Linked DNA regions of Danio rerio. The protein of the gene in region 1 purifies or fractionates together with the protein of each later gene. This does not show direct contact. Links are inferred from orthologs where the notes say so. Each region holds a gene or a part of one and is shown in the gene's direction. Other genes may lie near its edges. The genes, in order: isca2 and iba57.

The links.
Region 2: the proteins of isca2 (region 1) and iba57 purify together in Homo sapiens (co-immunoprecipitation; 4 studies listed by BioGRID and IntAct, with this or other methods). This does not show direct contact. The link is inferred for Danio rerio from reciprocal best matches to the Homo sapiens genes ISCA2 and IBA57.

Annotation. Positions count from the first base shown.
Region 1 is NC_133192.1:48,003,875-48,021,632, forward strand, and holds isca2 (iron-sulfur cluster assembly 2 homolog, mitochondrial), read left to right. Parts: upstream 1-7,500; 5' UTR 7,501-7,522; coding exon 7,523-7,584; intron 7,585-8,064; coding exon 8,065-8,179; intron 8,180-8,692; coding exon 8,693-8,808; intron 8,809-10,597; coding exon 10,598-10,772; 3' UTR 10,773-11,253; downstream 11,254-17,758. Other genes in the region: npc2.1 (NPC intracellular cholesterol transporter 2 precursor), read right to left, coding at 5,775-5,861, 5,946-6,118, 6,206-6,313, 6,417-6,498. UniProt on the Homo sapiens protein: Involved in the maturation of mitochondrial 4Fe-4S proteins functioning late in the iron-sulfur cluster assembly pathway. May be involved in the binding of an intermediate of Fe/S cluster assembly.
Region 2 is NC_133177.1:3,584,566-3,599,046, reverse strand, and holds iba57 (putative transferase CAF17 homolog, mitochondrial), read left to right. Parts: upstream 1-9,336; 5' UTR 9,337-9,433; coding exon 9,434-9,759; intron 9,760-11,520; coding exon 11,521-11,867; intron 11,868-11,962; coding exon 11,963-12,354; 3' UTR 12,355-12,846; downstream 12,847-14,481. Other genes in the region: atypical chemokine receptor 2, read right to left, coding at 1-887. UniProt on the Homo sapiens protein: Mitochondrial protein involved in the maturation of mitochondrial [4Fe-4S]-proteins in the late stage of the iron-sulfur cluster assembly pathway. Operates in cooperation with ISCA2 in the maturation of [4Fe-4S] proteins.

The DNA of each region.
Region 1 (17,758 bases):
AGATGAACAAGAAACACACAAATGCTGTTACAAAGTTTGCTGTATACATGTTTAACACAATGGACTGTTTCTGCATGTCTACACACGGCAAATGTGACAGGATACAAGTAAACACACACCGCAGTATGGATATTCATTATGCTTCTGTACAAAATAAACCAGAGTTAACATCCACAAATTTAACTCCTTTTGTGGGTTTGAAGAGTCCTCCTTTATAGTTGTACTAACACTGTGGCTGTGGTGATTCCAGCAGTTATGAATTATATTGCGATTTTACTATATAATTTTCTATGTTAATATATTTACTGTGTTTATTTATATTTTTATATAAATAATATTTACATTTGTATTTTACAAACATGCACTGCTTAAAAAATATTTTAAACTTGTACAACTCAGTCTTGGGATGCAGCTAATCACAGAGAGTTGAAACATCTTTTAATGTCAGTTTCTTTGCAAACCCTGTCTTGTCGACATGAATATACACATTAATACCGAGATCAAGTACACTCAAAAAATTATATTTGCTGTTTGTTCAAACTACTTATTTTACAGTTTTTTTACAATGGCTATGACACTTTTTTCAATACATTTAACAAGTTTGCTAAACTCTTAACGCAGCAACACACCTAAAATACACAATTGGCAAAACAGTTAATTTTATGCTCAAAATCAAACATTATAAACTAAACCTCTAAACTACTTTTCAAAATACAATAATAAACGAACACACTACACTATGTCTAACAAAACACTGCAATCATGTTTCAAAAAGAAATTATTGTTCAAAACACAAACACATGTTCTCTTCCAACATAACCATTTAGTCAATCAGAACACACTGACAATAAAAACACTATCATCAGCTGACATTACAGAAACTCCATTAGTTTATGTGTCAGCTCTGCCCTTATATTTGAAGTCTCGTTACAGTTTTGTTTTGTTGGGTTAAGTAAACGCATGCATTTTCTTTCGTTTACGGCAAAAATTCTATACAAAGCGTAGAAAAAAAATTGCTTTATAAAATTTACAGTTTATGTAAAAAAAAGAATTTCTGCAGTACAGACTTTTTTTGCAGAAAGACATCACTGCAAACAGAAAAAGCACCACAATTATAATAAAATAACAAAGTAATCTTCTTTTCTGCCCGGTCTTTTGCCACATGTTCTCATCCACATTATACTTGATATCTTCTGTGGCCCGGCACGGTAACTGTGGCCCTTTGGTCTATTATGTTTTTCCTATGGCGACATCCCCAGCCTTGTCAACATTGAAAATTTCATGTGGTACTTGATTGGGCTTTTACTTCATGACTCTCTGAAAGTAATTAGACACAGTGTATGCAAATGCTGTACTGTATATGTACTGTACTAATGAACTCCAGGTTTAAAGAGTAGTTTACTGCAAAACACACTGTGTAAAGTACAGTAATGACTGTATTACATAATCTTACATGGACGTATGGGTGACACAGTTCTTTGATGTGCTCACTGTTCTTTCCAAAAACCTCTAGAGTCCTCTATTAGAACATATGATCATGTGATTGGAAAAACCAAAACAAGACATGAGTGTGCTTTCTAGATGGGAAACAGCTGTCATATATATATATATATTTTTTTTTCAGTTGCCAATGAGAAACAGCATATTGCGGCTATATAAACAAATAAAGAAATATATATATATATATATATATATATATATATATATATATATATATATATATATATATATATATATATATATATATATATATATATATATTTATTTATTTATTTATTTATTTATTTATATAACCACAATATGCTGTTTCTCATTGGCAATTGAATAAAATACAGGGAATAAACTTGTGTTTCAATTCACAATTAGAAAAGCTGTTCACTTTGACTTTATCCTATATAATTTCTGTTTAGAACAAGGTGTTATCTGTTCTGACATACTGTGTTAAAGCATTTGTAAATTTGACTGTAAAATTACGTTGTTTTGTTCTTGGTTGTGCTTGTGTGTAAAAGAAGTTAAAGCATTTTAAATTGGTGTTAACTGGATGCCTTTTGCGTCAAAGCAACAAGAAATGTGTTAATTGTATAGCCCACGAAGACGGATGTTGTGCTAACTGTGTTAAGAGTTTAGGAAACTTGTTAAATGTATTGATAAAAGTGTCATAGCAATTGTAAAAAACTGTAAATGAGCTAAAACAACACACTTCTCAAGTTTTTTGGGGGACAATGTATTTGTTTTATATTCAATCCATTAAATTTGTAAAATCTATTGTTGCCTTAATTCCTTCATGATGTAGCAACACAAATCATTTGCGTGGAACCCAGCATTTTACAGTGTAATAAATGCCTGTCAATCAATTCAGCAGCTGGGGAAAACCATACTTGGTGTTTGTCATGGTGTGGTAGATCACAAAAATCGCTGGGATTTGGATGATAATTTAACATTATAATATATATATTGTTTACAAGAACTCAGGGTGTTTATAACACAATGTAATGGCTGAATACATTCCATACTACACACATCTGTCCCTAAACGTGTTTGTTTGGTAACTTAAGCTCTGCCATCTTGGTCCTAATTGAATTTACATTCAACATGCAATTTATTGTGGGTAATATTAGCCATTAGTGTACAGATGGGAATAGTAGACCATCTGGCAATTTAATTCAACAAAACATTCAAAAACAAGCATTTTGAAATCGTATCTCCTTGCAAACAAAAACAATTTGTAGTGTTATTTAGCTTCACAACTTCAGACATCCCAAGTTCCGTGGAGTGTCCCGCACACATGCATAGAGACTCTCTGATGCCCACAAATTAGATACAATCTCCCAGAAATTAATGTCTTTATGTACCCCCCTCCCAGAAATTACTTTGACCAAGTTGGATGTCTGTAACATGCTTAATAAAAATTACCAGAAAAGAGCCATTTTGACATTTCCCTACAGTTATTAGAAACTGTAGGGCTGATTGTGTATTCAGAATCAGTGTTTCTATTAATTCTTGGTTTGACACTTGCATTAGCTGAAGTTTCACAGCTAGAAAGTGTCTGAAAACTTCTAACACTGCCAGCAGTGTCAGTCTCGGTGCCAGTTTATCATTTGGAAAATCTGATTACAAGGACCATTAAGCGGTATGTGCTTGTGCGCAAAAGTGTGTGGGTGTTTCCCAGTGTTGGGTTGTGGCTGGAAGAGCATCCGCTGTGTAAAACATGTGCTGGATAAGTTGGCAGTTCATTCCGCTGTGGCAAACTGTGATTAATAAAGGGACTAAGCTGAAAAGAAAATGAATGAATAAGGTTACTGGATGGTTTGGTTTAGGATTGTGGTAGGTGTAGACATTCATAAAACAAAACAGGTACAGGTGTCTTAGTACAAGACATTATAAAAATAAAAACACTTGAAGCTGGCTCTGACCTTCTCCCGATTTTAGCCAAGGATTACAGGAATATTTTAGGTCTTTCCAAATTTGCCATAGATGATAAAATTGTGTCTAAAAAGCACAATGAGAGGCACTGCATATTGACACTTTGAAAATAGCATGCAACTATTGTAATTGTAATGTAATTTGATTTCAGTAAACAGGGCTTTAATACATTTATAAAACATCAATGCTTCTCTTTTGATGGACAATCTTTGTAATATCATAAAATATACAAATGATGCAGGTTCACCAAGAGTGCTCCCTAGTGGTGAATCACTGAACAGATTTCATAGTTTTGCGAGTTTGTATTTTATGAGTGCTGCAGTTTCCCCTACAGTCCCAAGACATTCGGTGTAGGTGAAATGAATAAACTAAATTAGGCGTAGTGAATTAGTGTGTGTATTTCCCAGTGCTGGATTGCGACTTGGATGGCATCCTCTGCATAAAACACATGCCAGGGTAATTGCTGGTTCATTCCACTTTGACAACCCCTGATAAATAAAGGACTAAGCTTCTCTTAATAGCGAGCCCACAATGGAACAAACAATATAATCTCTGAAACCTGATTTGATGACATCTGGCACTTTGGAGAAGTGTTCTCTTCATGAATGAATCCTGGTTTTCACTGTGCAAGGCAGATGGTAGACCGTGTGGATGGCGTCAAGTGTGGTTGAGTGGGTTGCTGATGTCAGTGATGTAAATACAGCGGCCCATGGTCACGGTGTGGTTATATTATAGGCATATGCAATGGGCAATGAAAGCAGCTGAATATTATTGATGGCTTTTTAAATGCAGAGATAGCGCAATGAGACAATGAAGCTCATTGTTGTGCCATTCGTCCACAAACACCACCTCATCTTGCAGCATGATAATGCACAACCCCATGTTGCAAGTTTCTGTACACCACTCCTGGAAGCTGAAAACATACCAGTTCTTGCATAGTGGACATGTAACTCACCAAGCATGTTTGAGATGCTCTGAATTGGTGCATCCAGCTGCATGTTCCAGTTACAGCCAATATTCAGCAACATTGAACAGTCATTAAAGAGAAGTGGACTACAGGTTACAATCTATGCAAGTCAACTCTTAAAAAAAAAAAAAAAAAAAAAAAGATGTGTTGCTCTTGATGAGGTTTTTGACCTGCATGTATCCCATGCATACATGTCCCTAGCAGTGAATCGTTTCAAGCTTTGCAAATCTTCATTTCTTCCGTCGCTAAATAAAACACATGACAGGTGACCTCTTAAAAAACAGAACTGCAACTAGCAGCTTGAATGTTTGACCTAAAAAGGAGAAGGTAGTTCACTTTAACCGTTTATATATAGCCTATTTATATGTGCTATTAATTGGTTCGCTTTCATTAAAACTAAAATGCATACAGAAAAACTAGATGGAGTGTTCATGGCCGTGAACAAATACTGACTCTTCATTAAATAGATCACGTAAAAATTTAATTTACTCACCATCAAGTGGTCCCAAACTTAGTTTCTTTCTATTGAAATTATTGTAACAAGTGACATTTCAGTGGACGTCCTGTAAATACTAAAAAGTTTTCAAAAACTAAGGTCGTTTCCTTTACCAAGACACCCAATGAAATGAAAGGGTGTAACAGTACACTCATGTAGTTGTATTTTGGGATTTATAGAGGTTTCCTAGACCAGAGGACTTATAACATTTCTTCCAAATTTAAAATAAGAAAAAAATAAAAACATTTAAAGAAATAAATAATAATAACAATTGATAAGTGTTGTGTTGTCTTGACTTGAATATTAAGCCTTAACATTTATTTAGAATTTGGAAGAAATGTCATCAGTAGTACATCAAACAGAAGAAAACAAACAAAAACAAAAAAAAACATTGCTTACAATAAAAAAGTATTTTATTTCAGACAGTAATGTACAAAGCTGCTTGTTACATTTGGCCACATTAGCCAGTATTTTAAGAAAATAATTTTCAGATTCTTTATTAAATAAGCAGATTTAAAAAGTTTAACTTAAAAGTTCGCAAGTAATCGCTCCAAGAAATGTGAATTAGAAACATTAGAAGTAGCCACACAGCAACTAGAGCCTAAATTGATCACCACAGCTTATCAACATCTCAATCTGGTCAATCATTAATGCAGTTTTAGCAACAAACTAGAATTTGGCAATGTTTGTACAGTGGGTCTGTGTGCATAGTTAAAGACAATACATTAAAATAAAATAACAAATCTGTCTTGGTTAGAAAAGGTAATAATATAATCATAAAATCTGAATCTACTATAAGAAATCTAAAAGCTTTTCAGGCAATCTTTCAGATGCTTCTGTTAATCGGATCCCTTTGTAAGCATTTTATCCTGACTTCAGCGTTGGCTTTCAGTTTACGATCTGGACAGGGAACTTGATGCAAAATAAATCTTTGCTGGAGTCGTCTCTTAGTTCCCATTCCACAACCACTTTTATCTAATAAACAAAAATAAATATTTAAGTGAAGATATACAACATTACAGACTTGCTTAGAACTAGAGAAGAAGCTTTAACACTTACTGCTGGATACTCAGTCTTGACAGGCAGCTCAGTGACATAGTTGTAAGGTTTCTGTGGAACAATAGGACACTGAATGCCAGATTTGCACCCATCGTCAATTGGAATAGGGAAGGGGACAGGGACACCAGCAAGCACACCATGAACCACAGCTTTACTGGTCTGACTTTCAACACCTAAGGAAATATAAGGGTTAATAGTTATTATTAACATCATAATTTCAGATTTATTCAAAAGTTTATTATATGTATAAAGCAACTCACCACTGCTGAAGGTTACATTAACGGTGTAGGATTGTCCCTTGTGAAGCTTGCAGGGCTGTTGCGAGCAGGGCTTGATGTCAACCTGAACTACTTTTCCGTCTACCGAGCCTGTAAGATGAAAGTGGAAATTATATACAAATATACAATTCAAGTAAAAAATAAATAAATTGAAATTGTTAAATATACAAACTTGATAAAAATAAAGACTTACCGCAGTCCACAAATTTTACCGGATCAGCACAAGTGTACGCGAGAAAAGAAAGTAAAACCACGCCGAGCACTCTGTAGTCCATGGTTCAAATGAATGCTGTTAGGAACCAACACACTAGAGTTAGTTTACTGACAAAAATCTAAACACAAGTAGGATAATTAATAATCACATGACAGCGAATATGCGTACACTTCCTCATAAACGTAAATGTCACTTTTCAAAATAGCACACAAAAACTTTCAGAGAAAAAGTACTTAGATCAAGTTAAAAGGTAAAAACATTAAATAATTTAATTAAATGTGTTTACTTACTAGGTTCTTCCTTCTGTCCCCTTTTCTTACACCCTGTTTCCTTGTCACGAGACCAGAATGACTGTGTCCTCCAATCAAATACTGTATGTATGGGCAGTCCTATGACGTAAAACGCCTTTTCGACGATCTCTCAACCAATGGTAGTGACTCGTTAAAATGGTCTGAAACTAGGACGTTCTTTTGTTGCCAGATATGTGAAAAACTTGGAAAACAAGTTTATCCAAGCAAACAATGTTTGCTTGGATATTCAATAACTCACTCAATTTCCTTCAGCTTACATCCTTTGAACCCTTTGTGTGTGTTTAACAGTTTTTAATCGTTAGACTAAACTAAACATAGTCTAAAATAGATTATCCATGGTATTTGTAGTAAAACTGGTTACACAAGTGGTAGACCTAACAGTCATTACTTTTTTATATTATGGCGAAACAATTGTCGATTTTAAAATAATGGTTTGCTAATAAAACATATTATTTAGACATATTAGTTCTAAGAAAGTTTTTATTGCACATTTAAGAAGATTTCAGTAAAAAAATGTTTCTGTGACAAATAATGGTACTTCATAGAAAGATCATTTGTGTTCTTATTTATCTAACTTAATTTTTTATGGTTCTGTGAAAGCTGTCTTTATTATAAAAATCAGATTTCTATTAACGTAAACATAGTTTACTGTTTTAAAACGTTTTGAAACCAAATAAAAATAACACCCTAAATACATAAAAATCCAACCTGGCAACCGATATTCTCGATAACGTCCACTAAGGCGCATGCGTAGTACTGTGTGAGTTACAGAAGATGTCATTCGCCCGGAGACTGCTTGTAAGCGCTCCTAAAACAGCGTCATTTCACCTTCTCAAGTATGCTCAATTTAGCGAAATTACGCTCATACATTTTGCATGTATTTTGTGATTTGGTTTGACTATGTTTTATGTCCGTACTTCAGCTAATAGCTAACAAAATAGCTTAGCTAGCATGCACAGGCAGTGAGATAACGACACCTTATTAGTATCCAATAACTGAAAGTAGCACATATCAGAACTAATTAATGAAAATCGCCACTTAAACTTATATACTGATTTAATTAAAATGAAATTTCTCGATTGCGTGTATTCAGTGGATTACAAACTAATCCGCGTTTTGCTAATGTTACACATATCATGTCAAGAATGTTAAATCTCTTTCTTAGTTGCTTTTTAACGTGAAATCATCATAATGTTTTTACAGAAGTAGGTTGACAAATTAGCCCCATAGGTTTGTTTTGATCAAGTGCATTGTGTGTGTGTGTGTGTGTGTGTCCACCATTCCCTGGCTGTCACGTGCGTTTTGTTGTTCTCCAGCCTGCTGTCAGTGAGATCATGTGCAGCTCCTCTCACCTCCACCTCCTCCAACACTGAACACCAGAATACATCCAGTACAGATGCAGAAGTTCACCTCAGCCAGTCCTGTGTCAAGGTGCGAGTTCATGTGTACTTCATCTTAGATACTCAGAAGTATAGTTGTGGCCAAATTGATGTTTACTCATCCTTATGGTTCCAAATATTTATAAATTTCGTTTGTCTGTTTCAACTCAAAAGAAGAGGTCTGGAAACCATTTAAATCCATAGTAAAAAAAAAATAAGGAAAATCATTTGATGCTGTTACCGACATTATTCAAAATATCTTCTTTTGCATGCAACAGAAGAAAGAAGTTTTGGGAGAACTTTCAATTTATGCGGTCACATTTACGCACACACCAGATAGGCACAATTAAATGTGCCTATCTAGCCATGAACATTTATTTATTCATTCATTCATTTTTCTTTGGCTTAGACCCTTATTTATCAGGGGGCACCACAGTGGAATAACCTGTCAACTATTTCAGCATATGTTTCATGTAGCAGATGCCCTTCCAGCCACAACTCAGTACTGGGAAATAGCCTTGGACAACAGCAAATATTAATAGTTGTACTTTTGTTGTTTCTGTAGAGGCTCGCTGAAATCATGGAGAAAGGACAATATCTGAGAATAGCAGTGGAGGGAGGAGGATGTTCAGGATTCCAGTATAAATTCTCTGTGGACAGTGTGAAAAATGAAGATGACAGGTAATTTACCTTGCACAAAAGGGGTTATAAAAAGTTTTTATTTTATTCATTTTTGCATGTGCTTTTTTCTTTGTCAAAATTAGATCTAGTGATAGGAGCTAGGCCTACATAAAAATGAAATATTTTTAAAAATCCAAACTTAATTTTACCAAACTTATAGATATTATTCATACAGTTTAGCAATCATAGTCAACTGAAAAAAGACCAATTTTGAAATTGTTCATGTTAAATCTAAATTAATGCTGTTTTTAGGGTTGTAAAGGCACACTATGTATAATTGTGTATCTTATTTGTATCAAAACAAACTGTTGTTTTATCTACTGCATGATAGGAATTGAATTTCAAACTTTAGTAGTTTTACAGCATTTTTACATGCTAATATTAATTCTTCAGTAGTTATCTTCAAACTATCTTTTAGTCTGGTAATAAAAGTTCACTAGACATTATATCATAATCACACGCCACCAGTGTTATTAGGCTAATGTCAAAAAAATCTGCTCATGACATCTAGTTGTGCTTTTTTAATACCGACAGGTGGTAGTAGTCTGTATTGTCATTCCACAAAGGGAAACCAGAACTAGTGCTGCACACATACAAATCATAAAGAAAGCAGCACTTGTGTACCTTTTTTTATTTATTCATTTCCTTTATTTAGCCAGGAGATCATGTTGAGACAGTACTGTCTGTTCTTCCAGTAACACCTGGTCAAGACGGCTGACAGCACATAAAGATCACAAAAAACAATACCACTAAATGACAAAATCGTAGTTCATAAAAAGGTCAGATCAAAAAGGTGGGGGTTATTAGATTGATGACACAGTAACAGCGTTAGTTGTAGCAAATTGATTTCACAGCACAATGTTTAACTTTAACGCCTTTACAGCACTTGCACACATTAAAAATAAAGGCCATGACTGAACATAGAGGACCATCTCCAAGTGGTGATCTCCAAAATTAAACCAAAACTTCTGTACAGTCTTGCGCTGTGAACATTGTGCCCACCAGTCTCATTATATGAGGCTACTATTAAATTAAACAAATGAATAATGACTATAACATTATATGATTGTTAGACTGTTGCACTTTTTTTGTGTTGTCAATATGCTCGTGTTTATATTGTTCCTTTTGGTGTGTATGCACCATGGTATACAATGTTTGTATGCTTATAACCAACTCTGAGGATAGTGGGGGGTCATGAGTCACTGGAATTGTTATTTTAGGGTCGCGGGCTAAAATGTTTGGCCCTGCACTAAACCTCTGCTCTATAGAACATGATGTTTGTGCCTTTGTTGCCAAATCTAAATACCAATGGCCATCAACAAAGAAAATGACACAATATCTAGAGATTTTTTTAAAGCATAACATATTTAATGAGTGAGTTCAACCAAAAATGAAAGTTCTATCATTTACTCATCCTTCACTTGTTTCAAACCTTTCTTCTGCTGATCACAAATTAACATATATTGAAAAATGTTCAGCCACTGACTTCCACAGTATTGTTTCTACACTGCTGTTTTTTTCAACATTCTTCAAAATATCTTGTTTTGTGTTTAACAGAAGAAAGATAATCATAAAGGTCTAGAACCGCCATTTCCTTAAATGTAAGGAAATGGTAAGGACCTGATCATTTTTGGGAGTGTAATGATCAAACAAGTTGTTGAGGTGCATATTTATGTAAAAAGTAACTGTGGAAATGAAAAACTGATCGTTTGTTGCTTGTAGCACTGGGATCTAGCATGCATACTAGGTGAAACAACTCTTGCTTTTATATCTCTTTCTTTTCCTCTAGAGTGTTTGAAAAGAACGGCGTAGGGATAGTGGTGGACCAGGACAGTCTGGAGTTTGTGAAAGGATCCACTGTTGACTTCAGTCAGGAGCTCATTCGCGCTTCATTTCAGGTGTTGAAGAATCCTCAGGCTGAACACGGCTGCTCCTGTGGCTCCTCTTTTTCTGTGAAACTCTGACTCTCTTCCTGTCTGCATATCAGTTCAGAACACACAGCTTACATGTCTGCTTATTTACAGGTAGAGTTCACCCAAAAAATGAATGTTCACACACTATTTACTCCCTCAAGTGGTTCAAAACCTTTATGAGCTTCTTTATTCTGTTCAACACAAAGATATTTTGAAGAAAGCTCTGACCATTGACTGCTATAGTAGGAAAAACAAATACTATGGAAGTCAGTCTTTACAGCTTTCCAGATTTCTCTAGAATATGTCCTTTTGTGTTTAACAGAATAATGAAGCTCTTGAAGGATAAATAATGTCAGAATTTTCAGTTTTGAGTGAACTGTCCCTTTAAGATCAGTCAGAGGCATAATAATATAATAATGTGATCAATGCTCAATTTGTTACTATGGTAAATGACATTCAGTGTTTTGTGTGTTGTACTGTATATAAGAAAGATTGTAAATATATATCTAAATAAAGTTATAAGATGATATGATATTCCCTGTTGTTGTTTTTTAGGCTTCTTGAGAGACAGCTCAGTTAGAATCTGGGATTGATCACAGAACTGAATTGATTACATTATAAATCTGTGGTCTCGAAGTTAATCTCTTATCTTGATTGTAAGGAGCTCATTATCATAGAATGTGATTGTTTTATGCTGACGAGGTCTTTTTTTTTTTTTAGTAATGATCGTTAAAGTGACGGTTCTGTGGAACTTAAATAATGCTAAAAGTATTTAAAATAAAATGCTTGCCAAATAGCCCTAACTGAAAAAAATACATTAATTTAACTATCTCATGCATTTTAATGATTTGAATTCCCAGGGTTTGTGTTTTTAGCTCCTGCAGTTTAGCATAGCTGTTTATGTTGTGAATATTTTAATGAAAAATATTTGACACATTTTCATACTTAAATGTAATACTTATTCAAATATCCAGTTGTTTAAAACGTGATATATACTATTCTAAAGGTAATTTTCAATTCATTTTATTTCAGTTCAAATGTTTTTTTAAAAATTAGGGGTTCAAAATCGGGTTACTTACATGAACCGTCACAACGGTTACTCAAACCGCCTTTGACAAATATGACACATTATCTCTCTATCTTCTATAGACATAACCTTGTATTAATATTATTATTATTATTATTATTGACTGCTATACGGAATATAAACTACAAAAGAGAAACAGGAAAATAATATATAAAAAAAAACAATTAAATAGATAAACACAATGCCAGGGTTAAGGACAATTAACCCTTGTGAATTGTGAAAATCGACAACCATTTCATTATGTTTGTGGCTATTTTCAAGTGGTGCTCGAGGGGGAGCTTAAGCTTGAGCTCCACCTTTTTTGCACTTCTTCTACGAGTGATGTCACTGGGGGTAGGGTTAGGGGTGGGGTTGGTGTACGCATTAAAACAGCTTACAGGAGGAGGAGTGACAGCTCATGCTCCCTCTCGCTGGAGCTCAGCTCTCCTCAAATGGCTCTGCAGCGAGCACCCTCTCGCTATTTTTGCCCCGTTGACTTTCATTATAACCACAATCTTTTTATTGCAAAGCCTTGACACCATATAATCATGCATTCTTGATTGTTGGTGCTTTTTCCTCTGTTGAAGAGGTGCAAGTTTTAGTTTTTACTCTTGATCATCAGTTGGCACTTTTAACCCTTTAGATAGACCTGTGCAAGACCTATCTAAGTTTCTGGCTTATATATATACATATACATACTGTATACTGTTTACTATGTTCTGAGAACTAAACTGCTTATTTTTATTTTTATCAAACATATTATGGTAATTGTGGAAAGGCCTCTCTTACACTCTTTCTCTCACCCATGCACACATTCTCCATATTCAAGCCAAAAACTATTGTTTTCTTTTTTTTTTCACTGTAACTTATGATCAACAGTAAAAATGACAAACTGAATATGGAAAACCACTAACAATCAAGAATGCATGATTATATGCTGTCATAGCTTTGCAATGAAAAAAATGGGCTTATAACATGACATATACTGTAAGTCAATCGGGAACACAAAAAACTAACATAACAAAAGGGTATTAAATGTGCCCAGTGTGTTGTTAATTGTTTTTCATTATTTCCAAAGAATTTTACCAAGATATGTTTCAAAATAAGATCTGTAACCAAAAACCATTCCACTTGCTAAAACACAGAAATAGTTTTGACCGAATTAAGACTTAAAATCATGAAAACAACCCCAACAGCACACAAAAATGTAAGAATAAAGATATTAATTACAAAATCAAGAACATATAATGATATAATTATCTATTATAAGAGAGTAATAAGAATGCGAGTGACACAGTGGTTAGCACGTTCGCCTTGCAGCAAGCAGGTCACTGGTCCGATGTTGGACTGGGTAAGTTGGTGTTTTTGTGTGGAGTTTGCATGTTCTAATCGTGTTTGCATGGGTTTCCTCCAGGTGCTCTGGTTTCCTGCATAAGTCCAAAGACGTGGTACAGGTGAATTGGGTATGCTAAAATTGACCGTAGTGTGTGAATGAATGTGTTTGAATGTTTCCCATTGATGGGTTGTGGCTAGAAGAGCATCCGCTGCATAAAACATATGCTGGATAAATTAGCCGTTCATTTCGCTGTGATTAATAAAGGGACTAAGCAGAAAAGAAAATGAATGAATGAGTAATGAGAATGCCATGATAATAATGTTTTCAGGACTTTGGAATTATTAGATGTAGGGAGTGTTCAGGTATGTTTTGAGGTCTTCATTCATTCATTCATTTTCTTTTCGGCTTAATCCCTTTATTAAGTAGGGGTTGCCGCAGCAGTACAAATTGCCAACTTATCCAGCATATGTTTTATGCAACAGATGCCCTTCCAGCTGCAAACCCAACACCCGGAAACACCCAGGACGGCAGTACACACACATTACAGCCAATTTAGCGTTTTCAATTTACCTGTACCGCATGTCTTTCGACTGGGAAAACTGGAGCACACCAAGGAAACCCACCCGAACAAAAGGAGAACATGCAAACTCCAGCCAGAAGTGTCAACTGAACCAACGACCTTCTTGTTGTGAGGCGATCGTGCTACCCACTGCACCACCATGATGCCTTGTTTTGAGGTCTTTTAAGGCATAATTTGCAGGTGGAAATAAATTGCTGCGCTTAAACTGCTATGTTAAATCAATCTATTAAAATGCAAGCACTTGTTAATTTAATGCATTATTTGTTTAGAGTTTTATTTAAAATATTTTTGTTCCATAAAGTTTGTAACCAAAAGCTTAAAACCCTGTCAACATTTACTCACTCTTCACTTCTTCCAAACGTATTTGATATTTCAGGTAATCCTCAATCAAAGTCTGACCATTTGCTTCCGTGTTTGGAGTGGTGTTTGGTTTCGGTTCTTCTCTGTTGACATCAGTTTGACACTACAATATTCTTAACCACGCCCCCTCTTACCGTTAGTTTGCTTTGAGGAAATGATGTGAAAAAAGGGCAAAACCCTGCCCCCTCAATATTCAGTTTCAGTTGGACGTACATCAACATTCTGAAATACATCACGTTTTTCAAATATTTTAACTGAAAGATCTAAACTTTGTGAGATCATCTTGACCACATCTACATGCCAATATATTCAATATATAGATTAGATATTTGTGTAAAACAGTCTTACATGAACGCACCACTTATGTGTACATCTTTTTTTTTATTATTAAAGTTGGCCTTTAAGAAACATTTCACAAAAATATACAAAAGAATGTCTTTACAAATGATATTTACAAGAAAATTAAAAGATGCATTAAGCACATCTCTTTCAATCAGAATGAACCAGAGACAAGGTTGCATTTTGTTTCAGTTCACGCTGAACTTGGACAATCCAGATTAGTAAAGTCCAACAAAAACAATAAAAAACATCAGAATAATCAAATAAATGATGTGATGTCATAAAGGCTTCAGCAGCAACATGAACAGTGATTTCAGATAAGACAGCGTTGAAACAAACTCTTCATTCGTTTTCTGAGGAATTGCATTAGTTTTTTTTTCTTCTTCTTTTAAACTTTGATCCCTGACATGAAACACAAAGCTCATACCTACTCACACGAACAGACGTCTCAAGTTCACTAATCAAGCTAGAGTTGCTACATATGAGGTTAGGAGTGTCTTCTACTGTTTAGGGAGATCACGTTCAAGATGGACATGAAAAGACCACTGGACTACCACAGTGAGCAGGTCAAGTATACAGTGCATAGAATGCTTTGGCATGCTGACATCCTAGAATATAACGCCAGTGTTACATTCAGGGAGAAGGCCACAGGAGATCCATGAAACCTTGAAAACAACCACCAGAAATGAAGACGACAGAAAACAGAATATAATATCAAAAACACCACACCTAAATGAAGAATAATAAATAAAAAACACGCAACGGGTAGTTTAAGGCTAATTGTTGTTAGCTTGCTACAAGTTCTTTTTCATTCGGAAGAAACTCTTTTAAACATCAATACAGACGGAATCCAAAATAAATGACTTGTAGCTCTATTTTTTTTTTCTTTCTTTAAAAAAGACAAATAAAAGTGAAGGGTAAACACATACACGTCTGATGGATCTTTTACAGTATGTTGGGTCGTGTGACACCCAACTATCATTCAGAATGGGTGACGACGGCTCATGCATCTGCTGTAAGACTGTGTAAAGATCTCTGTGAGTGTGTGTGCACTCATGCTGTCAGCTGGACTGGAGATGCTTTTGAGGCAGAGCGAGGACACAGCGGGATCTCAGTGAGGAGTGTGGACACACCGCCATACAAACAGACTGAAAAACACACACAAGTGTACCATTAGAATGGGAGCATTTCCAATAACAACAACCCAGTGATTCTTGATTCTGGGTAGTCATTGAAAGCATTCTGCCAAGTAACTGATCTGATCGCTGCCCACCAAATCTGATGGTTTCATGTCAGTTTCTTCATAGTGCAACATAACTGGAGAATGTCTGTCAGTCTGTTGGATGGTTGTTTATTAAAGGTTTAGGACACCCTAGAGAACTTTTTTTTATATTAACAGATATGTGTGTGTTGAGCATTAGTTAAGACAATGTTAGCACTTGTCAGCTTTAATTGTGGGGAAAACTGGATAATTTTGAGCTTTTGTCAGCTAATTTCAGCTTCCGGGTTTAAAATGATTTTTGGGGCGGGATCAAAATTGGCGACGTAGCGCAGTACTGCAAGTGCAATGATGAGGCGTCGGTTTCTCATTATTATTTATAGTGGAGTTTTCTTATCCTATGAGAAGAGCCGGCTGCTTAATTATTCATGAGAGCACGTGCTTTCCGAAGGCAAGACAGACCTGCCAGTTTCAAGCAAGCTGTGAGACACGGAGTCACGGACCAACGGCACGCAGTAGCCGTTCATGAAGGCTCGTATGTGTTTGTTTCTATGATCCACGGGGTTTGTTGTATGTTTTTTTTCCCCGCGATCTTGTCAGGGCGATCATACATCAAAGCTCTGTGTGTGCTGCAAGCATTTTTGTCGGGAGAGCAGCACGAGAATTAGAGAATGGCGGACGCTGTCTTTTATCGTTCACATTTAGACACATCGCCGTGCTGCTGTGTTTGCCTAAATCCTCCAGATTACCAGCAGGGCTAATGGTTAAAATAGGCAGGTCAGGAGACCTGCTGCACTGAGTCTGCATTCAGATCTATAATAGACCCGGGGATCGAGGGAGAATCCTCATTTATAGTGTTTACATGAACACACTTATCTTTATAATGATAAAAATTATGGTTATATGTATATGAAATTACAAATAATAAATGTAGCAGGGCATTAAATTACTGTTAATTTCTTTGCATTTTAACTTTGTGAACTATAAACTCATGCGTCTCATTTGTGTCTCATTTTGTGAGCTAACTGTCAACAACAGTTCACTCACGTTCTCCCCTGCTGGCCACGCCCACTCCTGCCCTATGCTCGCGGAGCTCCACGCCCATTAATCATGCATCTTTTGTAAAAATTCTGAAATAGACTTTAACCGAAAGTGGGGGGTCTCATGGCCCTTTAAGTCTGTCTTTTTTTGTTGGTCAGTTGATGTCTATTTCTCTGTCTGTCAGTTTGTCTGTCAGTTGTTTTGTCTGTCTGCTGGTCAGTCTATCCATCTATCTTTCAGTCAAGCTGTCAGTTTTGTCGTCTTTCTTAGTCTTTCAGTCTGTCTGCTGGTTATCTATCCATCTATCTGTCAGTCAGACTGTCAGTTGTTTCGTTGTTCTGTCAGTATTTCAGTCTGTCTGCTGGTCAGTCTATCCATCTATCTTTCAGTCGTTAGTCCGACAGTTGCTTCATCTGTCTTTCAGTCTTCTAATCTGTCTGCTGGTCAGTATATCCATCTGTCTGTCAGTCAGTCTTTTAGTTGTTTCATCTGTCAGTCATTTAGTCTGTTTGCTGGTCAGTCTATCTATATGTCAGTCGGTCAGTCAGTCTGTCAGTTGTTTCATCTGTCAGTCATTTAGTCTGTCTGTTGGTCAGTCTTTCCATCTATCAGTCAGTCTGGGAACTGTTTCATTTGTCTTTAAATCCTTCAATCTGTCTGCTGGACGGTCTATCTATCTATCTGTCAGTCAGTCTGTCAGTTGCTTCTTCTGTCTGTCTGTCTTTCAGTCTGTCAACTGGTCATTCTATCAGTTTATCAGTCAGTCTGGGAGATGTTTCGTCTGTCTTTAAGTCTTTCAATCTTTCTGCTGGCCAGTCTATCCGTCTATCTGGCTGTCAGTCTGTCGGTTGCTTCGTCTGTCTGTCAGTCTTTCAGTCTGTCTGCTGGTCAGTCTATCAGTCTACCTATCTGTCAGACAAGCAGTCCATTGTTTCATTTGTCTGTCTGTATTTCAGTCTGTAAGCGGGTCAGTCTGTCCATCTATCCGTCAGTCAGCCTGTGAGTTGCTTCATCTGTCTGTCTGTCTTTCAGTCTGTCTGTTGCACAGTCCACCCATCTATTTTTTCTAGCTGTCAGTCAGTCTGTTAGTTTTTTG
Region 2 (14,481 bases), on another chromosome or scaffold:
TACAACAGGGGGTTTACGAGCACATGCGTGAAGGCAATGGACTCGGTCACCTGAATGGCGAAGTCAAACTGTATGTTAGTGGTGCAAGCGTAAAAAAAGTGAAGGTCTTGCAAGGCATGCAGGAAAATGACAACGCTGTAGGGGAACCAGAGGAGAAAAAACATCACGGTGAATCCGGTTTCCAGTCGAAACCTCTGGAATCTGCTTCTTCCCACAACAACACTGCAATATCGTATCCAACAGAAAACAAGCACGAGAAACGGTATGACGAACCCAAGCAGGGTCATCTGAAACCTCGTGTAGACTTTCCAACCGAACCCATCATTGAAATGATAAGTGCAAACGATCTTCTCGTGGAATTTTTGCAACTCCACAAAGCTGACATGAACAGCCGCAGCCAAAATTGAGAAAAGCCACACGATGGCACACAAAACGCCGTTCCTCTTTGAACTTCTGAAGATCCTGAGGGTGGAATCAACGCGTGCGTCGTCCAAAAATCTCTGCAAGCTCAGACTGGCGACAAAAAGATTGCTGCTGTACAAACTAACCATGTAAACGAACGTGATCGCTTTACAGCTGTGATCGCCGAAGATCCACTCGCTGCCGGCGTAGACCGCCCAGAAAGAAAGGCTCAGTGTGAACAGGATGTCCGATATGACCATCTGAAGAGGTAAAACCATCCTCAGAGTCTTATATTTGACCAGCAACACCACAAGGGTTAAATTAGCGATAATCCCCAGCGCACAGGTAACAGAGTAGAACGTAGGTAGAAACAAATAGCTGAACTCCTTAACGTGCGTCTTCTTGCACAGTCCAAACTCCTCAAGTCCATCAGAATTGTAATAGTCCTCATACAAGCTGACGTCCTCCGGGTTTAAAACATCCATGGCTTGAATTCAAATGTTTGTTATTCACAGATTTGCTATTCAGATCTGGCTTCAGAGATTTTCCTCAAAGACAGCACTTTTTTTTTCAGTAGATTAGTGCGACACTTGCCTGGAAATCCTCTCAAGTCATTCTTTAGGACAAGACCTGTGTCCGGGAAACAGAACAAACAGTTGTTCTCTAAGCATGGAAAGAATGCATCCAGCATTTTGATACTAACACAATGAATCAGAGGAGGTAGTCCTGCAGTTTATAAAAACTGTTTTAGGGTATGCCTACATCAACAATAAGAAAGGAAATTTGCTTGACTGAGCATTGGGAGGAGCAGGAAAGGAAGAAATGACTCTCTCTCACACACACTCTCACACACACACATATTAAAAGCAGAAGTTATTGTTTTTCTGGCATGACTAGCATCTTTGTAAATCACAGATGTGACACTTAAACTGTGAGCGCGACTGAAACTAAACTAAGATGCTGTTAAACTATTGATTAATGCTATATTTGAAGAGTTTAGATGCAAAAAAAATTAAAAGTGCCTTCTGATATGTTCCTAAATTAGTTTTTCTTTCTTTTTCTTTTTCATTTTTTTCTTTAGGTGGAGTTATTTCACTTTAAAGGCAATGCAAAGAACATTATTTGGCATAAATGTGAAATTACTCAACCTATACACAGAAGCCTCAGAAAAAAATACACTGCTTTTCTTACTTAGATTTTTTTTTGTCTTGTTTCCAGTCTAAATATCTCACAATTCTTAAATCAAGAAGAACTTTCTAGACAAGCAAAACATATTGTCTTGTTTTCAGGAATAATATGCCAAAGCAAAAATAATCTGCCAATGGAGTAAGCAAAATAATCTTGTTTTTCCTTTTGACATAAGATTATTTTGCTTACCCTATTGGCAGATTATTTAGCTTGTTTTAAGGAAAAACTCACTTAATGTGGGCATGTTATTTTTTAAAGGGCACCTATGGTGAAAAAATCAAGCTGTTTGGACAGACATGTGTGTAAGTATAGTGTATATACTGTCTTATTGGGGTGAAATAAACACACCCAGTCCTTTTTTTTCAAATTTAACAACATAAAAACGGTGGACCAACTGTAGCGGTTTTCAGATCGACCGCAACTTTAAGTATGAGTGCGGTCCCCCGCCCACCAATATTGATTGACAGCTGCGCGCATTAACATGTCTCCATAGTAATGCATATAGTCATATCGACAAGACAGGACGAGTGCAAAGCAACTGGGAATAAAAGGTCTGTTCAGTTTGCTAGAATCATCAATCATCATCAGACGTGATCAAGAGTGAGTTTTACAAGTTTAACATGTTTTAAAACAGAGCACGTGTGTAATGAAGTACAGTCATTCACTTCATCAGCACAACCGCGTGTCTCTCTCACTGTCTTTCTGTGTGTGTGTGTGCGCTATGTATGTATGTGTCTGACTGTCTACGCTATGTATGTGTGTGTGTGTGTGTGTGAACTCATTGTTGCAACTCCCCAAAAAATGCATCAAATACTGTAGTAATTCTCACAAACGTTACGTGAGATCTGCTTCCTGAGGCAGCCGAGGGCGGCGATTGAGGCATGTTGCTGACAGGCACGTGGGAACGGTGGGCAGGGATGACTAGCCTTAAAGGCCCAGTGCAAAAAAACAATAACAACCTTTTCCCGGCTATAATACAGACACTTTAAACAGCTATAATAAATACTCTGATGGGTGTTTTGAGCTGAAACTTAACAGACACATTCTGGGGACACAAAAGACTTATAATAAATATGAAAAAAGGGGTAACCTTTAAAAAAAAAAAAAAAAAAAATATATATATATATATATATATATATATATATATATATATATATATATATATATATATATATATATATATATATATATATATATATATTTAAAATTTATGTGCCCTTTAAAACAAGACAATATATTTTGCTTGTCTAGAAAATTCTTCTTGATTTAAGAATTGTGAGAAATTTGCACTAGAAACAAGACAAAAAAATCTAAGCAAGAAAAGCATTTTTTTTTTGCAGTGATCCCATTTTAGAAGAAGATTTCTGGTGGCACTTTGAAGTTTTTGCATTCAAACTCTTGATTTAACGTTTAAAACAAGCTGTTGAGATGAACAGTTTTATGTTAAAATGTCATTCATGCAGACATCCCAGGTCTCCCGGAAGTTGCGGGAGTATTCCTCAAATGCATAGACACTCCCGGATGCCCGATATGAATCATAATCTCCCGGAAATCGCGCGCTTCCTGCACGGTCTTTAAATATGTTGAACAGCCCTCTCTCCACCGCATCCCTCGTAGCTCTTCAGGTACGTCGCGCGCAACTCACCCCCACCGCTCTTCAGGCAATGTTATGTCACTTCGCACACACAACTCCCACCGCTCTTTGGGTACGTCTCGCGCGCACACGCCCCCCTACCAAAATACGTCGCTCACTCAATGCACCCCATCCCCCACCCCCGCTCTTCAAACACCCACTATCAACTCTGTATCCCCCGGAAATTACTTTTCCCAACTGGGATGTCTGTTCATGTGAAAGCAACCGTAATATTAATAATACTAATAAATTCTGACCTTTACTTGAACTAGATAAAATACCAAGTCATTAAAGAGCCCCTATTATACATTATAAAAGGCCATATTTTGGTTTTGGGGGTGTCCAACAAAAGGCTGATATGCATGCAAGCTCAAAAAACATGTTCATTGTCTTATAATATGCATTTATTTTTACCTAATTATCCCAAACGACTCCCATATGATTTGTTCAGTGATTTATTTGTTCCCAAACCCCTCCTTTGCGTGATGCTAATCAGCACTAATTGGTCCGATGACCAGGGCCAGACGGAATCTGCAGATATTTTTTGCTATTTCTGCAGAGAATTTTGGTAAGAATCTGCAGATTTCTGCCAAACTATTTTGGGAGTATCATAACTAAAACCTTAATATGTTAAAAAAATATATATATTTTTTTACTTTTATTTAATGTTTAAAATGCAAATCCAATTAGATTCAGTTTATTTGGTAAACAAAGCAAGTCTGTCATATAATATGTCTACTAAAAGACAGAAAATATCACTGTACAAACTGCATTGTACATAAATTAGATGAACATTTTCATATTAGCCAATAATATTACCGTACTTAATTTAAAAACGGAATAAATATAGATTTACACACATTTACTCAAGTAAATAAACAGAATTAATGATGGGCTAAAAATCTGCTGAAAATCTGCGCGCGCAAATTCCGTGTGGGCCTACCGATGACCTATTCTGTTGTGATTGATCGAATGCGTTCAGCATGAGACAGAGAGAATGCCCACCATGGTCATAAAGTAGAACAAAGTATGTGAGAGCCCAGTGCAAGAATGCAATAAAGCAATGAGGTTAAACACCAGCATATATACTATTCTGAACCCTATAATAACAATGTAATAACAATGACACAATTCCAACCCAGGCTCATTTTGAAAACGAAGTCCTGTGGACGTTTCTGGAGGTCGCAAATTATGGAGGTACGTATGGCTGCATTTCATTTTTTAAGTGAGCGCTATATGTGGCGGTATGACTCTGTTCCTTTTGGTGCTTACCGGCTGACCACTTTACTGTGGGGCTTTCCCGCCGCAACCAATTTTACCAGTTAGCTCGTCGGCGGAATTGAGAAGCAAAGAGGAATTAACCACGATGACCGGGTTCTAGTCTGGGGAAGAACAATTCCAGAAATCAGGATTAGACAAAGGATGAATCATTTATCTGACTCTGAGTCGACTAAAAGAATCTATAGTTTTAAACACGGTTCACTCTTCATCTTCGGCCTTTGTCCCGCATGGTTGCGGGGTCGGCTCTTTTTGGAACAAGTTCTCCATTTAAGACTTGTCCATAAGATAACAACATTTTTTACACCTTCCGGCCGGCCTGTCACACTTATACACTCATACATACACTATGGACAATTTAGCCTAACCAATTTACCTGTAGCATGTCTTTGGACTGTGGAGGAAACCGGAGCACCCGGAGGAAAACCACACGAACGCAGGGAGAACATGCAAACTTCACACAGAAACGCCAACTGAGCTGAGGTTCGAACCAGCGACCTTCTTGCTGTGAGGCGACAGCACTACCTACTGCGCCACTGCTTTGACCTTTCAAACATGGTTCACTATCAGCCGCTGGCTGTGGAGTTGCTGATGAAAGTGAAGAGCGGGCGGAGAGATCACAGATGAAAGTGAAGAGCCGTGGGGGGGTTTGGATTGGAGCGGGCCCTTGATAATGTCTCTGGGGCCCCCCTAAATGTATGGGCCCTTAGAATCGTCCTAACTTTACCCCCTCTAGCGGCGCCCCTGGCTGTGTTACACACTGCATGGGCGGTAATTTTCAAAAACGCAATAATAGGGGCTCTTTAAACTACATTTTATTCGGTTTTAATTGATTAAAAGACTCCTGGGTAAAAACCTATTGATTTAATATGAAGGATGATGGAGAAAAACCTTATCTATACATATTACAAATTATATATATTATAAATTATAAGATTTTTACGTATTTTTCTGTTCCAAATATGCCCGATATAATTATGTGATATTTAAACTTTAGTCTTGATCACACCATCATGATCCAAATGTATAATAGTTTTTGTTTTGCTCTGAACAAAGATAAAGCAAGACATTTTCCATAGGCAGTGAGCAAAAACAAAACCCCTTTTGTTTTTGAAGGATATAGACTTTACATCTGCCAATGTTTTGCTTACTTCCTTCAGTTTTAACGATTTTACCCTTAGGGTTGCCACATTTCCAAATAAACTGCTGAGCTCAGGGTAGAACTTTGGAACTAGTGGAATTTCCTCTGAAATACCATTCAGAAAATCATGACTGCTTGCACTTTTTTAACAACAACTACTTCTGAGTTATCAGAGACTGTGACAAAAAACATATATAAACACACACACACACACACATATATTATATATATATTCTGTTTAACATAGAATATTTTTTTTCAAAACATTTCTAAGAATAATAGTTTTAATAACTCATTTCTAAAGCCGCCTTTCCACTGCACATGACATTTGAACACGACTGTCGGAATACGCTCCCTTGTGGCAGCCGCACAGTATTTTCAGTGTTGTCGTGCACCGTGGGGGAGAAACTGATTCACACGGTGTCCGAAATAAAGGAGTGCAAAAGCAAGAGCCTTTATTCTCTGTGCGTTTACATGGTTTAACGAATGAATGAATACTAAAAACTCATAGACCGCTAACATATTGGAGGGAATGTGGGGACAACATTAAAACATATATTTTTATTACTTTCTTACTTACATTTATGAACAGAAAAGTTTATTTTTTTAATATAGAGTTTTTAGATTAAAAAAATAACCAAATAAACTCCCATTTCTCATCTCGCGCACATGGATCTGCTTGGACAAAACTGGAATACATCATATCCGGTCAGCAGGTCGCATACGGTCTAGTCGCAGAAGTTTGAAATATTTCAACGGATCCGAATTGAGCTGCGAATTTTCCGCATACGGAGATGATCGGAACTCCACGCAGCTCCCGGACTGCTCTCCATTGGAAATGAATGACTTCCGGTCTGTCGCTTGTCGTGTGCAGTGAAAAGGCGGCTTAATAACTGTTTTATTTTATCTTTGTCATGATGACAGTAAATAATATTTGACTAGATATTTTTCATGACACTTCTATACAGCTTAAAGTGGCATTTAAAAGCTAAACTAGGGTAATAGGTGAACTAGGCAGGTTAGGGTAATTAGGTAAGTTATTGTATAATGATGGATTGTTCAGTAGGCTATCAACAAAAATATATAGCTTAAGGGGGCTAATAATATCGTCCTTAAAATGGTGTTTAAAAAATTAAAAACTGCTTTAATTCTAGCCGAAATCAAACAAATAAGACTTTCTCCAGAAGAAAAAATATTATCAGACATACTGTGAAAATTCCCTTGCACTGTTAAACATCATTTGGGCAATACTTAAAGAAAAGAAATTCAAAGGGGGGCTAATAATTCTGACTTCAACTGTATATGTAGGGTGGTGCGGACGATTGGGGGGGGTCAGTTTTTTCAGTTATGTTCGGTAATATGCCTCAGTGAACCAAAGTTACATATTTAATTCAATATCTAATAATTAATATAGACTAAATTGCAGGTATATATTTATATTATTTTATGTATAATTGTGTTTATTGTAAATTCCTTCTTAAAAACTCTACTTTTTGTATTAACATTATATGTTAGGCACCTAGGGTCTGAGAGTAACGTAATTTCGTTTCTCTATATGTCCTGAACATGTGGTTGAATTGACAATAAAGCTGACTTTGACTTGACTTTGACTTAATCAAGCTTTTGTTTTTGTTTTAAGGGATATTGAGTGGTTTTCAATGACATTTCTGATATTAAATAAACGATGACATGTTTGCATACCTGCACTATTAATGGACGACCATGAAAGACTACACATGTATTTTTGTTTTACTTTTTAACTTTCATGTGTGAGCAAGTGTATAATAAAATACAAACTATGCATCTAGTTTCATGGACACCTACAGTACAAATGCCTTTTTTATTGGAAACATGTTTAGTGAACACTGTCTGTTGCTGCTCTAGATTTGCTGGTTTCAAATCGCTAAATTAATATTTTTGATACAAACATGCATTGTTAATAGTATGAACTATTATAGAGCTGGTCAAATGTTATTATTTAATTAGAGATATTATTTAAGATACAGATCAGAGCAAACTATTTCTTAACTATTAAAGGGCTATTATATATACCTGACAACACTCTTAGTTTTCCCAGGAGTCTCCAGTATTTCACACCCATCTCCCGCCACCCTCCTATTTTGTTATTTCTCCCAGAAAACCCATGTAATTAATAAATATATAAAGAAACGTATACTGATTAATATCCTGTTAGTCATCCAATGTGTCTGAATTTATTTCCACAACACTTTCGATTTACACTTCCTTTCTCCCTTTTTAGATTTGAAAAAGAACCTCACCATGTGAGTTTGGATGCATCGTAAATTTCTCCTCCTGTCATTTTTTTTTCATCCTTCTTTTTTTCGACACTTCTTGTCGACCTGCCAAATCAAAATAAAACCATGAAACGCTAGCATGGCAGTTTTTGAAAGGAAAACAAACAAAGTTGGCCCTTGGTAACCTTTGGTTTGGCCTATAAAGGGAGGGAGAATGATATGGAGTTTAATAGGGCGAATGCCTTTTACACAGATCGCCATTTCGAATTTAACGTAGGCTAACCTTTTGTTCTGTTTAATTGAGGAGCTACAAAAAGCCAGCTAAAACTAAATGTTTATAAATGAATCAGACTTTTAAATGCAAATACTGCACTTGGCAGATGACAATGCACAAGACATCAGTAAGCAAATCAAGGCAAAGGCAGGAGCAGCTCGACTAGTGTATTCAGCATTGATCTCCATTATATTATAAATGGGATTGTTTATGTTTTTACAATAAGTTCAGTATAAAATGTTAAAAATGATACTGCATCATAATTTAATATGATTTAAAGCAACGTCTAGTTATTTTTAAACATTAGCAAATAAATGAAGAAATTACACATGGCAAATTTAATGTAATACAGTTTGGTATATTTAATGTTGGCACACAGCCCTCAGTTATTTGGTTTTTGGCCCTTTATAAGAACAATTTGGCCACCCCTGGTTTACATAATGGCTGTTTACTTGTCTTTATTCCAATTGTAATATATAGTTCAATTTGACATTTTTTCTCACTTCTCATTTGCACAAGACCTTTTCCATCTTAGTGTACCCATCCATGAAGTAATGAAGTAACAAAGAATAAGTAATACAGCTTTGTATCTAGCCATTTAGCAGGAGGACACCAACAGCACTGTACAAATCTGTTTATGTAATTAAAGAATGTCTAGATCTGGCTTATTTACCGAAATAAATCTACTTTCACGAAGGAGTTCGTCGCCACAGAACACAAAAGTGTATTGAAGATACATTTAACAGGAATAAAAATAGCTGTAATCACTAAAAATCAAATATAATCTATGAAATGCTGAGCATGTTTACAATTTTAATCGTAATATTACAGGCTACAATTAACTTTTACTCGACGCTATAACATAGCTTACCTTTAGTGAACAGTTGTTTGACGTTTAACGATATTCAGTGAACTCATGAATATTCATATTCCTCCGCACACTTATAATTCGTCTCACAAAAGTGTTAAATAAGATTTCAAATAATATATATATAGCTACACAAATCTGTTTATTTATATCTCCATACAAACTGGGCGAATATCACAACGAAGTACTATTAAAATTATGATAAAACACGGGATTAGTTTGACGCCTCAAAGTGAGGGCGGACGCAGCTAACGTTACGCTATGAATATTTATAAGATAAGCCTCCGCCATAGTATTTGTTTCGTACACAAAACGCAGTGCAGTATGGGAATGAAAATGGAAGGTTTAAGGTTGGAAGGTTGACTTGCTGTTGCTGCATTCAGAAAACAACATAATGCAAAGGATGATTTTGTTTGGTGGTGCTTTGAGGGAGATTGTGGTGCGGTCAGGCGGACTTCAGGCGCACTATTTTCTATGTACAAGCAGGACTCGGATTAAAACACACTCTCAAACTCGAGCTGCCAGCAGTACAGCACACTTTAGCTGTTACAGATTACCACACAGGACTGTCCTCAATGTATCTGGACAAGACACGAGCTCATTTCTTCAAGGAATAATCACCAATGACATGAATCTTCTGGGAGAGGATTCACTGAATGCCATGTACGCTCACGTGCTCAATGTTCAAGGCAGGACACTGTACGACATCATCCTTTACAGGTAAAATTAACACACTAACTAACTAACACTATTAACATTTAATTAGCTTAAAATGTTGGGATTAAACACTATATGTAATATTGACGTGCTTTTAGAAGTGCTGGAGTTTAGTAAATTGGGTTCGTAAAATGTGGGCGTGACCTGATTCAGCATTATCTCACTGTCACACATTGATAGTTTTGTATTGACGTGAATAGATATGAAGCTGCTTTTGTACAGTTCTATTTTATATCACTAAAGTCAGTGTTATTTATGTATAATATTATGCTGATATGTCCAGTGGCTTACAAATAATGAATATGACAGAATTGTTCATCCACATAAAGCCATGGTGTGTATTAGACTAGTACACAGGTGTCAAATCTAGTTCCTGGAGGGCCGCAGCTCTGCACAGTTTAGTTCCGCAACATGAAAAATAAGAACTGCGCCTATTTTTGCCAAAAACTTTCTATAAATAAGTCACTCTGGGTAAAAAAATTGCATTGTTGATAGAAAAAAGTTTGAAAAATTTATACTTCTCATGTTTTTGGTAATTTGGTAATAATCTGTAAAGGTGTTAAGTTTTGTGTTTGCCAAAATATATAGTTTTCTAACTAGAAATGTTAACTAAGTATTTTATTCTTAATTTTATTTGCACACACACAATATATATATATATATATATATATATATATATATATATATATATATATATATATATATATATATATAACACACATATACACACACATAAATAGAAACAAAGCTGCACAATTTTATTACGTTTTTTTACATGAATATTTAAATTTATGTACAAATTGTATCATATTCAGATGTATTTTATATCTAAATAATATAAATAAAACTTTTCTCATATATGTGTGTATTTATATATACATAATAAATATATAAACAGCATACATACACTTAAATTATTATTAAATTAAACTTTTATTTTGAATGCGATTAATCGTGATACATTTTTGTCCAGATAGAATTATTATTAATAAACTATCAGTGTTTTATGTAAATAATTGCAAAAGCAGATATATTTCATAACTAAATGGATGATTCTAAATGTTGCAATGTCTGTTAATCTCCATCTATATTGCTATGGTTGTCACTATGCCAGTTTCTTTTAGTTTTAAAGGGAACACCACATTATGAGGATAACATCCCTGAAACTGTGTGTAATTGGCCATTGGCATTCTTAGTAGCATTAGTAGCATAGAAAACATTCATTCCATTACTAAAATTTAAAACATTGACATATTTTATAATTATACATAATATTTTATTTGATCTATTTATTGCTTTTACTTTGACTTTAACCACCACCGTCCAATTGGCCCTCCGAGAAACAGTTCATTAATTTTCTTTTCGGCTTAGTCCCTTTATTAATCTGAGTTTGCCACAGCGGAATGAACCGCCAACTTATCCAGCATATGTTTTACGCAGCAGATGCCCTTCCAGCTGCAACCCATCACTGGGAAACACCCATACACTCTCATTCACACACATACACTACAGATCATTTAGCTTAATTCATCTATGGCGCATGTGTTTGGACTTGTGTGGGGAACCGGAGCACCTGGAGGAAACTCACACCAACACAGGGAGAACATGCAAACTCCACACAGAAATGCCAACTTTTTTTAATAATAAAAAAAAAAAACATTTTTAAAGGTCAAATATTATTACTTTATTTTAGACCCCCCAAAAAAAGATCTTGTTTTTTATGTTCTCCCTGTACGCATTAACGAAACTTACTTTGTTCTTCAGTTTAAAAGGAAACCCAGATGGACTCAACGGTGTACTTCTGGAGTGTGACAGCACAGTGCAGGACTCTGTTATGCAGCTTCTGAAAGTCTACAAGATACGTCGCAAAGTGAACCTCAGCGTATGTCCGAGTCTCTCGCTCTGGGCTCTGCTACCTCACAGTAAAGAAGCTGTCCTGGGAAGGCCTGATGTTACCACTACTGATAAAGTGCTGGTTTTGGAGAAAGACCCAAGAACTGAGCTCATGGGCTGGAGAATGATCACCAGCGCTCAGGACAATCCACTGGACATTGTGTCTGCTTGTCGACTGGGCAACACTGAAGAATACCACAGGCATCGCTATGAGATTGGTATTGCTTGTACATTATTATTATTTATGTAGACTGGGCTTACTTCTCAGGTCTAGCTTGTACAACCAGTGCTGTATTTCATTTCATTTTCACAGGACTGCCTGAAGGAGTCGGAGATCTTCCCCCAGGTGAGGCTCTTCCACTGGAAGCCAATCTGGTCTACATGCAGGGAATCAGCTTCAGCAAGGGCTGCTACATCGGGCAGGAGCTGACGGCCAGAACTCACCACACCGGCGTGATAAGAAAGCGTCTGATGCCTGTCAGCTTATCTGCTCCAGCCGAGAAGCTCAACCAGGGGTCAGCTCTTCAGACAGAGGGAGGAAAACCAGCAGGTAAATACAGGACAGGAGTGGACAAGCTGGGACTGAGCCTCGTACGCCTGGCTCACGCCAAAGAAACACTCCAGCTCAAATCATCTGGTGACGAGACGGTGACTGTACTAGCCTCTGTGCCCGACTGGTGGCCAAAAACCCCCCAAGAGAAATAAATCACAAACACTAGAAATGTAAGAGTGTCATATTTGAAGCCAGAACATTTACACAGAGGTACCGATTGACACCTTGAAATAAAAGAAGTTTCTTTGGGTTGATCTTCTAAAAGAGTTCACATTGCAATTGTATGGAGCCCCTTCTCGGGAACATGCAGAATATACTGACACTGAGGAAAACTGTTGAATAAAGTTACACAGATTACCACCTGTCAACAGTGTTGGGCAAGCTACTTGAAAAATGTAGTGAGCTAAGCTAAAAGCTACATGGCAAAAGTAGCTTAGCTACATCTAAGCTAATTTTACAATTTTCATTTTTTTAATTGAAGCAACTTAAATCCCAAGTCAATTATTTTAGTGATCAATAAAACTGCCAATGTAACATATGAGGCAGAATAGTTCAGTTCAGTTATTTACTGTAAATAATATGCTGTACTAAACAAACATTATGGTATATAACATCTAAAAAATAAAATAAAATAAAAAATCCAATAAAACCAGGTGTTGCCCATTTAAAATACTATAGTAATTAATAGTAAAGGGAAATTTTTTGGAATAAGCAGTATGGTGTGTGTGTGTGTATATATATACATATACATATATACATATATATATATATATATATATATATATATATATATATATATATATATATATATATAAGTATTTTCTGTTTTTGAGCACAGCATCATAAAATTAAGTTGTTGCATCTTAACGTACTTCTCGAGGTATGGTCACGAGCAGGGCCGGAGCAAGCTGAACTGCCGCTCTAGGCAGAGGACGATCACGCCGCCCTCAACCCCAATGTGAAAACGAAAGTGACCGGTTATGAAAATGAAGTGAGGTGTCGCGGACCTTTATTCTGCCGCCCTATGCGCGGATATAACTGAGGACGCGCGGGTTCTGAGGGAGGGAGGTGTCGCCGACGTTGCTCTCTCTATTCTGCCGCCCTATGCAAGGAAATAACTGAGGACGCGCGGGTGTCGCGGACCTCTATTCTGCCACCCTATGCGCGGATATAACTGAGGACGCGCGGGTGCTGAGGGAGAGAGGGAGGTGTTGCTGACGCTGCCCTCTCTATTCTGTCGCCAATGCGCGAATATATCTGAGGACGCGGGTGGTGAGGGAGGTGTCATGGACATAACTGAGGACGCAGGTGGTAGGGGGGTGTTGCGGACGTCGCCCTCTCTATACTGCCGCCCCAGGCGGCCGCCTAGGTCGCCTCTATGAATGCGCCGGCCCTGGTCACGAGGAATCCTGCTTCAGAAATAATTCCTCTCTCTCAGTAACGCACAAAACTTGTTGTCGAAGAAGAAGAAATCAACATTCTCTCATTCATATGGATTTACTTTCATCGGCTAGATATTGGCCTAACAGCTCTGTGAATGTCGGTGCCGTCACTTATTGATCCGCGATTTGTAAATGTAGCTTGTGTGGACGCCACTGCGCTACTTGACTAATAAAATAGCTTCGCTACTGAAAAGCTATTTGATTTAGAAAGTAGTGACGCTACCGTCACGCTACTGAGAAATGTATTTAAGCTAGTAGCATCACTACTTGGAGCGACGCTACTGCCCAACACTGCCTGGCAATAACTTTTTTTCCATGGGACTCTGGCATGAATAGGCAGAGTGATCTGTGTCTTTACTATAGCTTCAACAAACTTAGTTGGTGAAAAGACGCACAACCAAAAGGAACCCACCAACAGTATCTGAGGTTTTCACTAAAATTACTAAGTACAAGTGTGAAAGCGAGAGATTGAAGCAGTCTACTGATGCTGTGACACATTACCTGAAAGACTCAAAAGACTGAAGAGTTGTTAGATGGAGACAAGATTAATAAATATCACCTTTAACAATTATAGTGAGACGTGATTCAGCTGTACATCCTTGATAAACTGTCCAACGTGCACTGCTTTCTGGGCTGACTGCTGGAGCTCAGATGCTGCAGTGCATGACAGAGTGTGTGTGCTCACGTGATGTGCGTTTTCAGTGGTATAGTGTGGAAAGAGGGCTTTATAGAAATGGTAGATGAAATGCCAGTGTGTGGATGTGGATTGTTTTTTGTTCTCAAATGCCATTTTAAAACTAAGACGTATTGTAAATGGGGCTTGAGTGTGTATTTTTC